Neurospora crassa OR74A: one gene and its partner. The protein of the gene in region 2 purifies or fractionates together with the protein of the main gene of each other region. This does not show direct contact. Links are inferred from orthologs where the notes say so. Each region holds a gene or a part of one and is shown on either strand. Other genes may lie near its edges. The genes, in order: NCU00396 and NCU02717.

Region 1 (6,850 bases), on a different chromosome or scaffold from region 2:
TCTTTGAGAGTGGTGTGCAAAAAGTCAAAAATGCGAAGGACCGCGGTATTCAAACGGAGTGACCAAGCTTCAGCTGACTTTGACAAAAACTCGAGACGAGTGCTCTTAACATAAATATCTATCCAGACCCCAAACTCCGCCCGTTACATAACCGGGAACACAGCCCTGGGCCGGGTTCTTACAATCATCAGCCAGGGGAGCAAGTGGAATCGAGACCCATCTATCCCGTAGACTCGGAACCCAACCCCACTTCTACCGCAGCGTCTTCTAGAGTAGGTACGCAGTACATAGGGTATCTTCATGTTGCGTCCCATTGACACTATACCCATGTATGTACGGTCGCGTGCCATACCTTGCTTGGTACCCCACAACGAGTCACAGTGATTTCCAGGATCTGGAGAACTTTTGCTCCAAGTGAACGACTGATCAGGCGTGGAGAATGGGCCCAGCCTTGATACTTGGTTCAGCTCTTATTTTCTGTTTGCTCCTCTTTGCTGCCTCCTCTCCCAGTCTCCTTAGAGTAACATGAAAAGCAAGGGCAATGGGTGAACCAGACACTCCTTTGGAATCAACAGCGGTCTCGCCGATGCTACTTCGCTTTGTTATCCTCTAAATCTACTTAGTATAGGGCTCGACACATTATGTACATTAGCTTACCGCCCGTCCGGTCCTGTTTTCCTCTCGGTATCATTGAAGAGTTGTTCTTTTCGTGGCCCTAGAAGCGACGCTAAATTGGAATCACCCCACGGTCATGGCCCTTCTGGAACCGAAGGGCTTACATCCCGTCATATAGTTCAGAGTGCGGTTCATGGGGCTTTGTAATTAGCTTGACATCTCTGCTGCGCAAAGGTCAGTCATATCGGTCGCATTGGCGACGTGTTGTTCCAGCGGTATCACGCCATAGAGTCTCCATTCAGGGCGCAGAAGCGAAAACAATGTTGATGGTGATCCGGGCTAGTTGTGCTGTGCCGTCTGGCTGGTTAGAAGACAGGTCATGATTCACATTGCGTCAGAGAGGAAAATGGAAAACTGAGGGTAGTTGATGACAGCTAACTAAGGCAAAGCTGCCCTTCAGGAGAATAAAACGACATCTGCATCGTCAAAAGATGATAGGATCTGGCAGGTGGTTGATTAAGCTTTGGTCAACCAAGATTCGTCAGCTTCAAAATCCGTGGCTTCATAGATTTTGCCTCAGACAGGGCGCTTGATGTCGAAGAAATCGGCGAGTTTTGCCCAATTACTCCTGTTTTCCGCTTATTCAAGAGGTGATGATGCTCGGAAGCGGAGAATGTTGCACGATGCCCCTCAAGAACAACTTGGGTACGAATAAACCGAACAGAGACGGTCCGATACCGCTCATCGTGGTTGGAGCTAGGAAAGGCCGCTACAAATCTCTATTGAATGGGAATTATGATATACGAAGGTACAATAGCTCGAGTTCTGTTCCAGGGGGTGACTCAAACTCAGGTTCAAAGGTATACCAAGAGGTAGTAAAGATGCTTAGATGTATACCTAATTGGTTTACCTACCCAAGGTCTGATGTACTGGCTGTGACGTATTTCGGCTTATTCTTACCATTCCATTAGGTTTGGCAAGTCAACCGGGTTCCCTCAACAATTTCCTTTGTCAAAAACGAGACCAGGTCCCTGACAGCGCTGTGGAGAGCCGCTGACAGCTCCTCCGTCGGGTCTGCCCCCACGAACACTTGCGGGGCTGCGGGGTTACCCTCCGGCTACCTATCGATAAGTCACTTTGCCCCCACATTACCGACGTCAATCATCTCTGTTCCCGTATTGAAGATTTGTCAACCCTTCAAGTCGAACATGACCAGATCTTTGAATCTGGACATTCTCCTTTTCCAGTTTCTCACCTTGCCCCCAAAAAAAGACAAGATAGAGGTTCGTTCCGCAGACAACTGACTTTCAACCATGGCCTGCTGTACCTGCGCAAAGCTTTTACACTTGGTGCCCCGCTTCGTCCATGAGACCGAGAAGCCTCTCCCGGACGATCGGCGATTGAGCTGTTGCGGCCGAGTAATCTGCGGTAACTGTATATATGTAAGTATCACCAAGCCGTCAGTCAGGCTGAAACTTGACCGCTACATCACGCCGCCATACCTACTCTGCGAAGCGACGCAAAAAAAAGGCACCTTGATGGCCAACCTTTCATTTCTATGTTTTGTTCATAGGCGCGATAGACAGTCTACTAACACTAGAGCAGAACAACCCCCGTTTTAGCAGTTACTGTCCTTACTGCCAAACCCCATCATCATCATCATCATCTTCCTCTTCATACCTTACTCCCATAAACCCCCGCGGTCCCAAATATCGCCCTCCTTCTCACCATTACCGAGCTGAAAATACACAAGCCGCCAACGACGACAAAGATACACCACCACCACCACCATACCCCGGCCCTATCTCCTACAACAATCATCTTCCTCCCCCATCCTCCTCACCGCCCCCTTATTCTTCAACCATCTCTCTCACAGCCACAGCATCAACCCAGCAAGAGCCCAAACCTCCACAAGACAACCCAAACACCACCATCCCAGACACAATTCACCACCTCACACCCCACGACACCCTCCCCTCCCTCTCCCTCCGCTACTCGATTCCCCTTCCTGTCCTCCTCGCGCATAACCGTCTCCCGCTCTTCTCTCTCTCCACCTCTTCCTCCCCTTTCCACTCCAGTTCTTCCGCACTTCTATTCGCCCGCGGTAGACGCACCATCAGTATCCCGGGAGAATACAACCCATCCGGCGTATCGCTTTCTCCCTACCCTGTAGAAAGCGACGAGGAGGTGGAACGGAAGAAGAAGATAAGGAAGTGGATGATGAAAGCCAAAGTGGCAGACTATGATGTTGCGGTATTGTATCTGGAGGGAAATGATTGGAATGTGGAAAGCGCAGTAAAGGCGTTGGAGGACGATGAGATGTGGGAGGCCCTAAACCAACCACCGCCTACGAAGGGGAAAGGGAGGGTTATGGGAAGGACGTGGATTAGTGGGGTGAAGAGGTTGGTTCCCACTGCTTCTAGTACTGCGTCGAAGTTTGGCAAATAGGTAGTCAAGCCGGGGATCGGGACTTGAAAGCCAGGAAGACTGGATCGTAAGCAGTTATGATGCCATGCTTTGTGTACCCAAAATTTTGTATATTGCCAAGCAATATGGCTCTTCTTTTCTTTTTGTTTAGCCACGTACCAATCTGTCTCTTCTTTCCATCGTTAAATCTAAGCACAACGGCGTACATACAATTGACGCCTAAACCACTTACCACCACCGGAGCGCCTAGCTGAATCAACAGCAGTAATCCAAGTTAACATTACAACAAGGCTTTGATCCATCCCAGATGTCTGTGAAAACGACGCGCTTCTTTGCAAGGAGTTTCATATACATTAAACCATAAGCTCGCAGCCATTACTTCTCACCCAGAAACGATGTACTCAAGTTTAGAAGGCAGACCGGGTGCGGATATCCTAGACAAAGCAAGCAGGTTAGTAAGTGAATTGTTTCTCGAAATTCAAGGGGGTTTGAGGGAACACATACCGAAATCTTGCGCTCGATTTCCCTCACCGAGCGATCAAGTTCTCCCGCAATCATCTGCTTCTTATCATTCGGCAGCAAGCTAAACCTCTCGCACAAGTCACCATCGATCACACCCTTGACGGGGGTATAGTAACCCCGGTAGATCAAATGATCACGGCCGGCAAGCGGCGGGTCTTCAGCGCGCATATGATTCTCCAGATTCTGGAAGAAGTCGACATCCTCACGGCTGACAAAGGGAATGAAAACACCGACAGTGCCCTGCAAGCCGCTCCAGAGCAGCACGTCCTGACCACCGACAACTAGGCTGGTCTTGCATATGCTGGTCGGCAAGTCCTGAGTGTAGAAGTGGACCTGGAGGCTCAAGCGGTTGGGTGTGCCATGAAGGTAGTTGCGGGCGTGCATCAGGTGGATCTCTGATCCAGGCTCGTCAGTTTCCTGGCTGACGCGCTCTGGGCAACGGACGATGTATATGTTGCCGAACTTGTCGCCGCCGGCAACGGATTCGTAGTCGACCATGGTGGTGCAGGTTGTCCAGCGGTTCAAGGTGTCGTCAGCAAAGGGAATGAGTCTATTGCCCTCGGCCTTGTAGACAACGTACGTGATGCCTTGCTGGAGATCGCCGACAATGATGCGGTTACCCTGGCTTTGTAGGGAGACGATGAGAGTGGGCGTCACATCTGCTTGAGCTTTTCGGAGCAGTTGCTTCAAACCGAGGTCGTAGATACGGAGTGTCTTGCCGACGCCAGCAAGCAGACGTCCTTGGAACGGAATGAGTGCCAAAGGCGGCTCTTCTACTCGGGTCTTATGAATGAACTCCAGGTCCCGGCCGTCTTCATGGAATCTGTAAACATGGATGTAGCCCTCGGTAAATTGACGTGGGTCGAGGACCATATCTTTGCCCGTGCCGACAACCAGGAAACTTTCGCCCTCTTGACTGGCAAAAGGTACAATGGCCGCGCTGACTGCCGCCTCATTGTTGTCAAGATCAATCCTTTGGAGGACTCTCGGTTCCTCACTGATAGGGTCGATAATGCTGATGCACGATGCCCATCTACCTTTGGCTCTGGGATATCCAAAGTCCTCTGGCGGCAGTACCGTTGCGTCGCCATTGCTTTGTTGCTCCAGAAGCTTTGCCCGCAGCTCCGGGGGGAGGGTGTTATTGTCGGATTCGATAGTGTAAAAGTATGGCTGTTCGGGATGCTTGACCAAGTGCTTAGGTGTGTAAGTCAAAGGAATGGATTTCTGAATCATGTTGTCGCCCAGTTTTTCGATTGAAAAGATTCTGCACTCAATGTCAGTGTCTGTGAAGATAAGGACGTGCAAAATGGATGGGTGTATCGGGTTGTATTTGTAAGGAACAATTGGTACAATCACATATGATTGCTCCAATCGCCTCATTACCCAAGGGCATAGAGTTCACTTTCCTCATCACATAACTGGACGCCAAACAATTTGGAATAAACTGACCTTAGGTAGTTGGCATGAATACCAACCATGCCTTCCAAGCACTGTTCGCTACTGAAGTTCCAACCATACTCAAGCTCGGTGTAACTTAGGGGCGTCATCATGAAGCCCTTAGTAAGTGGGTCGGTGTAGCCTAACCATGGCCTCGAGCTCAGCGCAAGAACACATGGCTGATCCTGAACTGATACTTGGAAAAGTCTGGTAGGCTTGGGACCCAAGAATTTTTGACGAGTGTCTGTCAGTTCGCCCGTCACTTCATCCAGCACAGTCCGGAGGTAAACGCCCGAATGCAATCCGATGTGGAGATAGAGCGTGGATCCACCAAACGAGTCCTCCATCGACATGATTGATAAAGCCGAGGGCGCGGCTGTTAAAGCTTGGATGGACTTCATCTCGAGTGTTGAATCAGGGTCCAAGCTAAGAATGCGAACTGTGCAATCATCGCATCCTACAGCTAGGAAAGAGCTTCGCTTCAGGCCCTCCGGTACTTGACCGACGCTCAGCGATGTGACGGTACCCGACATCTCCTTCTTTTCGTCATACTCGGCGAGCGAACCATCCGAGTCCATTTCGAAGTAGACGATTTCGCCAGAGCTCAAGGCGATGACAACCTGATTCTCATTTGCCGTGGCAGCAACAATCGAGCGATGCTGAGGTGCAGGCCATTCATTGACACGACCTTGGACGATGTGGCGAATGCCCTTGGGGTGAACTTGTATCAAGCCATCCTCACCCATTTGCTGCACAGCTAGGGTGGGCGCCGTAGTCAAGAAACCACTATCGCTGACCTCTTCTACCGTCTCACCAATGCTGAGAACCAATGTTCCATTTGTGAATGACAGCACAATATAAGCATCGTACTGATCGTACTTGGTCAACTTAGTCGTCCATACAGCAGAAGGTGTACCCGGAAGCTCCGAAGCGACAATTTCAGACACTTCGAGTCCGTGCTTCAACATGCGGAAAGTACTCCGCGCCCCATTTCCACAGACAGAGTAGATCTGGGGCGCGTCCTCTCCCGTCAGATTCGCAACCTTGCAGTCGACCTGAGGGTTCATCGAATCAATGCTCTCAACCAGGACCAGATTTTCAAGTGGCCTGGGGTGGAAGTACACCGGGTTATATGAGGCGGTAGGGTCTGTCGGGAAGTCGTCGCTGCTGAACTCGAGCTCCTCGTCATCGTCTCCGAGCTTTTCAAATTGGTAAAAGTGATGGTTTCCAAACTCGCTAGCGGCGAACAGGAAGCCGCTCTTCAGGATGCAAAGACTAGTGGCTACTGGTATCGTGTCGAAGTACTTGATCTTGAGGCGCTTGACCTCTCCGGTGGGGTTGCCGTCACTATCTTCGATCATGTCAATGGTGACTTTGAAGAGATCTCCATCGTCCGTCTGAAGAAGGAAGAAAAAGGCGCCCGCGCTTCCCTTGAGCTTGTGCATAACGCCAGAGACGATAACCCGCTTCCTCTGAGGATCTTCGGTGGCACCGCTGCGTCTAGGGATGGGGACGCGGAAAGCCTCTTGATTCGAGTGCCGATAGGTGACATTTTCCTCGCCGCACACCAAGACACCGCTGGGACCGTCATTGCCGCCGGGTACTTGGAAGAGAAGTGAAGAAGTGCGATCGACAGTATCTGACCACTTGCGTACAACGTGGTTCAGGCCCAGATCAAGCTCGTAATATACCAGCTGTGTCTCGACTTCTTCTCGTGCTTGGCCCGTAGGATCTTGGTCCGCGTCCGTGTAGTCCAGTTCCAACGCAGCGAAAACGGGGTTTGCGTAACCAACGTCAAGGGCAACAAGAGACAGCACCAACACGCCTGGCTTGTGGGCTTCCAGTGGTG
Region 2 (8,054 bases):
ATCGCAACGTTCTTGCCTCGGCCGCTATCGGTGCTGCTGGAGCTTTTGCGGGTTACCAAGGCGCAGATTTCTACACCAAGCACAAGGAGAAGAAGGCTCCGCTGGTCCTCAGAGGGCGTGACGGCAGACTTGTGTATCGCAACGATGACGACGTCAGTGCCAAGGATAACAAGGGCCACAAGAACTTCCTCGAGAGTGCCCTTGCCGCTGCTGGTATTGGCAGCACCTTGAAGGCCTTGGCGGGAGGCAGCAGCAGCAGAGATGACAGATCCGATACTAGAAGTGTCAGGAGTCGCCGCAGCAGCCGCTCAAGATCTCGTTCCCGCGGAGGCGATCCGGCCAAAAAGATCCAGAAGGCTGCCATGGCTTCCCTCATTGCCGGTGCTACCGAAGCCTTCCGTGTATCTAAGGAGCCGGGTGGTTGGAAGGGAGAAAAGGCCAAGCGCATCCTTACCGCCGCAGCGGGTGCTGCTACTGTTGATGCTGCCATGAAGGACGATAAGGCGGGTAGCAAGCTCGGTTTGGCCGAATCCGTCATCGGTGGCCTGCTTGGCAACCGTGTGCTGAACGGCTCCAAGAAGAACATTGAGGAGGATGAGAAGACCGGTCGCTCTCGGTCGCGGTCTCGTGCCCGCTCTCGGTCCAAGGGCCCCGGTGGCGGACTCGCCGCTATCGCGACTGCCGGTCTCGGCACCTACGCTGCAAACAAGCTCAACAGCCGATCCAGGTCCCGACGCCGGAGCACTGATTCATATGACAGCCGCGACGGCTCGCGCGATAGACGTCATCGCAGCCGTAGCCGCAGCGTCGTCGACTCGGCGCGCAAGGGCCTTGCCAAGCTAGGCATCGGAAACGGGCCAGACGACTATGAGCGCGACCGCCACGACCGCAGACATTACGATGACTATGCCGACTCTTCTCGAAGCGGGCGTCGACACCGAGACTACTCAGACGATGAGCGCTCCAGAAGCGGCCGCAGCCGTAGTCGCTCAAGGGGAGGAGGAACTGTGGCAAGGAGACGCGATGCTTCGCGTGGATCAGTCTCCTCATCCGACCTGGGAGATTCGGACGATGACAGGAAGAGAACCAAGAAAATGAGAGGTAAGCAAATGATTACTACAGGATTGGCAGCTGTGGCGACCATCCACGCTGCCCACAACATCTACCAAAGCGTGGAGAAGCACAGCGTACGTAAGAAGGCAGTGAGGGAAGGGGAATTGAGTCCGGAAGAAGCCAAGAAGCTCAAGCAGAGAGCCATGCTGCAAGATGCCGCATCGGTCGGCATCGCGGCCCTGGGCATCAAGGGCGCCATCTCGGAGATGAAGGAGGCTCGTGAGGTGACGCACGAGACGCATGAGTGGAAGAAGAAGAAAGAGGAAAGGCATCAGAGACGGCTCGAAAGACTGCGGGCAACGGCAAACCAGGCAAATGACTTTGACGGGGACGGCCGTGGCGACATTGTCGACTTCGGCAGACGCAGGGCTGACAACTGGTCTTCTTCAGCGCCGCCCAAGGCGACCCGCCTGGAGGATGGTCCCTATTATACTGATGGGAATCCATACGGTGCCATGCCTCGCAATCCATCTCCTCCATCGGGCAGCAGTCCTGGCAGGAGATGAGTTATGGGCAGGTTTGCCATTGCCCGCTTTATCGTCGTCTGTCACCCGTGCTCTCTAATTTGACCCGACATTCAATCTGCATTCTTGCATCCCCAATCCTACGCGGTGCCTCAAGAAACAACAAGAGAGCTGGTCACTACTGGGCGTTTGCTCAACTTGAGCTGAGCGAGGGAGCGTGTGCCTTGCTTGAGCTCATGCTGGTCTGACGAACACCTTGACCGTTAGAGCCCAGCCCCTCCTTCTGCTTGGTTGGACACATGCGCAAGGGGAAATCTTCCAAACTGCGATGCCTCATCGCTTATTACAGTTGCTGTTGCGCCTCCTGATATGCTTTGGTTACGATGAACATGACCTTTTTCTTCCTTTTTCATCACATACACGAAAAGTTATCAAATGCAGTTGTTTAACCAGTTGACTAATTGTTCTCCCGCTTTCTGCGCAAACAGATCACCGTCGCTAAACATAGTCTCCACTATCTGAACCGATTGAACCGAAAAAGACAGGAGGACCCCGAAATCCAGGGAAATGTGGCGATCCTTGGCAGGGGTTGCAAGCAGGTTTTTTTGCGTTGTACGACTGAACGGGCACGCATGTTGAACCTCGACAAACAGGAACTGTGAGGAATGACGCGCACTCAAACCACTGCAAGTCTGCAACAGCGAAATGATTGATGGGAAAACGGTTGTTGGTCGGTGCCGAAACGGCCGGTACCGGAACGGAAACGCGCCGCACGCTGGCTGTCTGAGCTGTTCTGGTTGGCTCGCAAGTCACACACATGGATGTTTGGATCTCACGAGACTTGGCGTGTGGTTGGTTGGCCTGGCTGCCAAAGGATACAACATGCGGTTATGTCGGCCCCTACATCCTTACACTTCCTATCTTTCGGCATCTATGCATAGCTTGTTCCTCCCTTGCCCACTCTCTGTACTCCTTACTCCAACTTTCTTACACCTTCTGCTGGGCGGCAGCTACAACGACATGTTTTCGCTCTCTTTCTACTTTTTTCTACCTATTCTTTCCTTTTCATGATGATGATGATAATGATGGTCAACAGGTTGGGTTTTATGAGGATGATGAAGAAACAGATCAATTCCGAGAGGTTGAGAGAATGACAATGATAAACAATGTATGCCTCTTTGCGAATTCTCACGATATATGTATAAAGAGAAGGCCGGTAGTCAGTTTCTTTCATGGAGATAAACGATACTTTTTGGACCCACGAATACAATGTGCTGGAAATCGACGTCAAGACCACCATGAGATTCGACGGCCGAGGAAGACCTGATATCCTCAGAGTATCCCAACATGTACAAAGCCGTATTTAATCGTACGGGATATGGAACAACCTACCAAGCAGTTGGTTAAAATATAATTCACACCTTTCATCAAAGTATGGGGTTTCTATCGTGGTTTGGGCTTTTTATGTGATCTTTAATACCGAGAACAACTCAAGAGGTATATATGTGTGGGAGTAAAGATCCGCACCATATCGGTTACTGTATTCGGGGGGAAAAGTTTATGGGCTTCTTGGTCTGCGGCCTAATATAACATTGCATCTCCTACACTAGCTGCTCCCTCCCTGAGCCGCTTCATCGACAGCAGCGCCACCAGCACCCCCCGCGGCCTGCTGTTTCCAAGCATTCGCCATGGCCAACAGACTCGACAAGTTCTTGGTCTGCTGATCATCAGCCGGGAAGATATAATCGACATATTCCTCCCAAGTATCATCCTCCAGCTTACGCTTCTTCTTGGTCTTCCTAGGCATTTGTTTCTGAATCTTTTCGATATCCTCCGCCGACCCATGCGTCTTCTCAAACGCCAACCACGCGTTGAGCAGCGACACACGCTCGGCCTTGAGCTCGCGCTCCTTCATGCTCTTGTGCGCCCTCTCAAAGATCTTGCGAGCACGTGCCTTGGCCTCTTCGCTAACAGGCTTCTCTTCCACCTCCTCCTCCGTTTCTTCCTCCTCCTCGGCCTCGTCGGGTATGTTGATCTCGAACTGGGCGTAACTGATCCAGACCTTGGGGTGATCGGCCTTCTCGAGCAGGCGCTCGTACAGGGCACGCGTCCGCTCGTACTCGCCCTCTTCTTCCTCGAAATCGATGTACGCCTTCCATACCACCTCGGGCATGTCCAGGATCGGCTGCGAGACAGCGAGCTCGAAGATGGCGCGGGTGCGCTCGAGATCGTCGAGACCACGTTCCAGCTCGGCCCACTTGATCCATGTTTGGCAGTTGGCCGGGTTGTACATGACATGCTTTTCGTAGAGGGTGCGGCAGCGCTCGAACTCGTAGAGCTTCTGCTCGAGGAGGATGTACTCCTTGAAGATCTTGTCTTTGGGGCACATGCCGATGGCGCGGCCGAGGGTTTTGCGGGCCGTCGTTAGTTGGCCCTGTCGGATCTCGAAGTGCGCCTTGGCAACCCACACTTTGGCAAAAGTGAACTTCTTGTGGGGGATCAGGTTCAGACAGGTGTCGTAGATCTGACGGGCTCGCCCGATATCCTTTGTTTCCCTCTCCTCCCATATCGCGTAAAAGAGGAAGAGGAAAATGTACCGCCTCCAGTGTCGCTTCTCTTGGGTTGGCGGTACTTGAGCAATGGCTCGCTCGTAGACTTCTCTGGTCCGATCGACATCTCCTCCGCTCTCCTCGAGTCGCGCAAAGTCAAACCAGACGTCGTAGTTCTTTGCGTTCTCCTTGACTTGCTCCTCGTACAATCTCCTCCTCTTTGTAAGAATGACGTCCTCCACACCCTCCTTGTCGCCAAACTGCTTTTCAAATGTGGTGTAGTGGGCATGTAGCGTCATCGACTTGGACCGAGGCAAGTTGTCGAGGCCAAACTTGTAGATGGCACGGGCCCGCTCATACTCACGCAGACGGGCCTCGTACCGGGCGAAGGCGATGAATATCCTCTCGTCAACGGCATCGTCGCCTAGCGTTTCGGCAATTGTCTGGATAGCTGTCTGGAAGACCTCGCGGACCGTGTCGCTGGTCCCGTATTCCTCTTCAAACTTGGCCCACTTGAGCCACGTCCTCGGTTCCGGATGGACGGCGGTAAAGGCCCTGAAGATCTCCCTTGCCCTGTCGAACTCGCCGTAACGTTTCTCTAGACGGATATAAGCACTCCACGCCTGCTCATCTGGCTGCCACTTCATCCACCGGTCGAAGACTTGTCTGGTACCCGGAATGTCGCCGAGCATCTCCATAACGTAGAGATACTGGTACCAGAGAGATGTGACTCTGGGCAGCCGCGTGACAGCGCGGTCCAACAGATTGCGTGCATGGTTGATGTTACGGTTCTTGATCTCTGCTTGAACGTATCGGATCCAGAGTTCTGTTGGACATATCGTTAGCGACTGATGTGCGCCACATTTAACAGCACATGGACACTTTGAGTTTAGACAAACATACGAGTATTGTTGGGATGTACATCCAGAGCGCGCTCGAACACAGAGCGAGCCCGCGCAAACTCCTTCTGTTCTAGCTCCCATTGAGCATACTGGAGCCAGTTCGATAGACGAACTCGGTTACGCCGCACGTAGTCCTCAAACTCCTTGCGCTTACGACCTTGGTATTCCTTGAGCTCCTCGAGGTCGGCAAAGCGCTGTGTCGGGGTCTGGAGGTTGACTTCCTGGCGGTCGACGGCCTCGCGCAGCAGCTGCTCGGCCGAGATCTGTACAGGCGCAGGGGCTTTATTCTTCACCCGTGGCGGGCCGCGCGATGACTCCATTGTGAAGATGGGCGTAAAAAGTGGCGATCTGCAGATGTTGGCGTGGTGTTGTAAGTTCGGTTTCTCAATGAGATTTTGGGGTCTGGACGCAACAGCAGCCAGCCACTGAACTCAGTTGAGGACGCGCTGCGATTGATGGACCGTGGCTCGATGCCCCTGCCTACTTACTGAACCTTGCTGCACAGTGGGTATGGACACTTTTCGCTCATCATGTCATTGTACATCTGATAGGTAGTACATGTCCGACCTCAGCGAGCAGGTTCGCCCATAAGACGACGCTGAGCCGCTGGAAGGCCGCTGTATTGGGTGTGGCTGCGAACTACGCCTACTTGACACTATCTACTCACTGCACTGGCAGCTATCGGCGACATACCAAGCCGCACTGTGTACGACCGGCAGGCAAAGCACTGGCGCAACGAGGTCAGTACAGTACGCTAGGCCGTGATGCAACGCCGCGGTCTCTTGCCTCCATTCTTCCCAAAACCAAAACAAGTCGACAACACATCGAACTCTTTTCCATTCTTTCTTCGGCACACGGCAGCTGTTGTACCTGTATCAGCGACTGTCCCGTTTACTCCTGAATCTAACCACCTTGAGACCCGAACAGTCGCCGAATATTCTGCCCAGGAAACAGGGTTTTGCCAACATGTCGTCTACTCTCGACGAGCTCCTCCAGGACTTTGAGGACTCTGGCTCCGAGGCCGGTGGCGAGGAGTATGGCGATGGTCTTCTAGGCGATGGCGTTGACACGACTGGAGGCTCCGGCGTGGACGACGCACATGTACCGATCAATGATGAGGATCAAGATGAAGGCATGGGCGACGAGGAGGGCGAGGACGAAGACGAAGCTATGGGTGGCGTCGGCGCCGACGACTCGAATGCTGTAGAAGATCCCGAGGAAGCAAAAGCCAAGGTTGAGAAGATGCATCTGGGAGGAGTGCGAGATGTTCGAACTGTTGCGACTCTTATGAAGTCATTGAAGCCAGTACTCGAGGTTAGTTCCCTTATACCCGTTTGCGGTGCTCCCTTTGAACATGGAAAAGCGTTTACATCTTATTTGAGCAATAGCCCTGACAGTCTGGATCGAACGTTGCAGAAAATCGCACACTATCAAGCACAACCCGCTCAGGCCAACGACGTCGGCCATGTCGAAGATCACCCGGAATACAACCTCTTGACCAACGCCAACAGACTGTCTACTCTGATAGACAGTGAGGTGGCCCTTGTCCACAAGTTTGTGAGGGATCACTTCTCCGCCAGATTTGCTGCACTCGAGTCGCTATTACCGAACCCAATCGAATACTGCAAGGTTGTTGCCATCTTGGGCAACTCCCCAATGGACTCGGAGAGCATGAAAGCGTTGCAGCTTTCCACCGATAACCCTCTGGGGTTAACCCTCAAGTCAGTTCTTGACGGACCAACCTTGATGATTGTCACGGTGGAAGCCACGGTTTCCAAGGGTCAATTTCTGGGCGAGAATGAGATCCAGCGCGTCACAGAAGCGTGCTTGATGGTGGTCGATCTTGATAAGGCTAAGAAGACCCTCACTGAGTACGTACAGTCTCGCATGAACATCTTTGCGCCAAACTTGACGGCTCTCATCGGTTCCCTCACAGCAGCACAGCTTCTTAACCAAGCCGGCGGCCTGACTGGCCTTTCCAAAACCCCGGCTTGCAACCTCCCGGCTTGGGGCTCTAAGAAACAGACAAGTTCTGCTCTTGCCACCAATGTCGGCATCAGACAGCAGGGCTTCATCTATCAGTCAGACATCATTCGTGGGATTCCAACCGACCTCAAGAAACAGGCTATGAAAATGTTTGCAAACAAGATTGTCATGTGCGCGCGCACCGACTGCTTTCACCAGTTCAGGGATGGGTCAGAAGGCGAACGACTGAAGGACGAATGTCTAGACCGCCTAGATAAGTTGCAGCAAAAGCCAAACAGCAAGGGCGCACGCGCTCTCCCGGCACCCGACGACAAGCCGAGTAGAAAGCGTGGTGGCCGACGCGCTCGTAAAGCCAAGGAGGCCACGGCCATGACGGAATTGCGCAAGGCTCAGAACCGTATGGCCTTTGGCAAAGAGGAGAAGGAAGTCGGTTATGGCACGGGCGACGCTACCGCTGGCATGGGCATGATCGGCCAGCGTGACGATGGACGTCTACGGGTCACGCAAATCGACCAGCGCACGCGTGCCAAGTTGAGTGCAAAGAGCAAGGGCTGGGGTGGCGCCAGCTCGCTCAATGGCGGCGCCGCATCATCTCTCAGAGGGCTTGCTGGCGGTGGCAGCGGCATTGGCAACATCAATCTGGCTGCCAGCAAGGGCTTGCGGACGTCAGGCGTTGGTACCACGGTGGGCAGCGCCACCGCCGGAACGGTATCGTCGTTGGCGTTTACGCCTATGCAAGGCTTAGAGCTCGTTGATCCAAAGGTGCAATACGAGCTTAGCAGGAAGCGCAAAGCAGACGAGGACCGCTGGTTTAAGGGCGGCACATTCACCCAAGTTGGCAACTCGGGTGGCGCCGGTGAATTCAAGAAGCCTGCATTGCCCCCCAGCAAGAGACAAGATACGGGAGCGACGAAGTGACACCTGTACATGGAGACGGTGGACGAGCCGGTCGATGAAAGCGTACGCCGGTGACCAAGCGTGGTCCCCTAACCTCAATCCCGTTGGGATGGCTCGGTGTGTCCCTGGTCAGTTGGATACTC

Evidence for each region.
Region 1: the proteins of NCU02717 (region 2) and NCU00396 purify together in Saccharomyces cerevisiae (affinity purification with mass spectrometry, with the first as the bait; 4 studies listed by BioGRID). This does not show direct contact. The link is inferred for Neurospora crassa OR74A from reciprocal best matches to the Saccharomyces cerevisiae genes CLF1 and RSE1.

What each region holds. Positions count from the first base shown.
Region 1 is NC_026503.1:3,709,454-3,716,303, reverse strand, and holds the end of NCU00396 (pre-mRNA-splicing factor rse-1), read right to left. Parts: coding exon 5,014-6,850; intron 4,829-5,013; coding exon 3,547-4,828; intron 3,477-3,546; coding exon 3,450-3,476; 3' UTR 3,064-3,449; downstream 1-3,063. Other genes in the region: NCU16683 (hypothetical protein), read left to right, coding at 1,929-2,057, 2,221-3,063. UniProt on the Saccharomyces cerevisiae protein: Involved in G2/M transition. Required for pre-mRNA splicing and endoplasmic reticulum (ER) to Golgi secretion pathway. U2 snRNPs associated protein required for the pre-spliceosome assembly.
Region 2 is NC_026501.1:3,298,661-3,306,714, reverse strand, and holds NCU02717 (pre-mRNA-splicing factor clf-1), read right to left. Parts: upstream 5,448-8,054; 5' UTR 5,349-5,447; coding exon 5,030-5,348; intron 4,953-5,029; coding exon 3,184-4,952; 3' UTR 2,980-3,183; downstream 1-2,979. Other genes in the region: NCU02718 (hypothetical protein), read left to right, coding at 1-1,619; NCU02716 (pre-mRNA splicing factor), read left to right, coding at 5,995-6,342, 6,445-7,932. UniProt on the Saccharomyces cerevisiae protein: Involved in pre-mRNA splicing and cell cycle progression. Required for the spliceosome assembly by promoting the functional integration of the U4/U6.U5 tri-snRNP particle into the U1-, U2-dependent pre-spliceosome.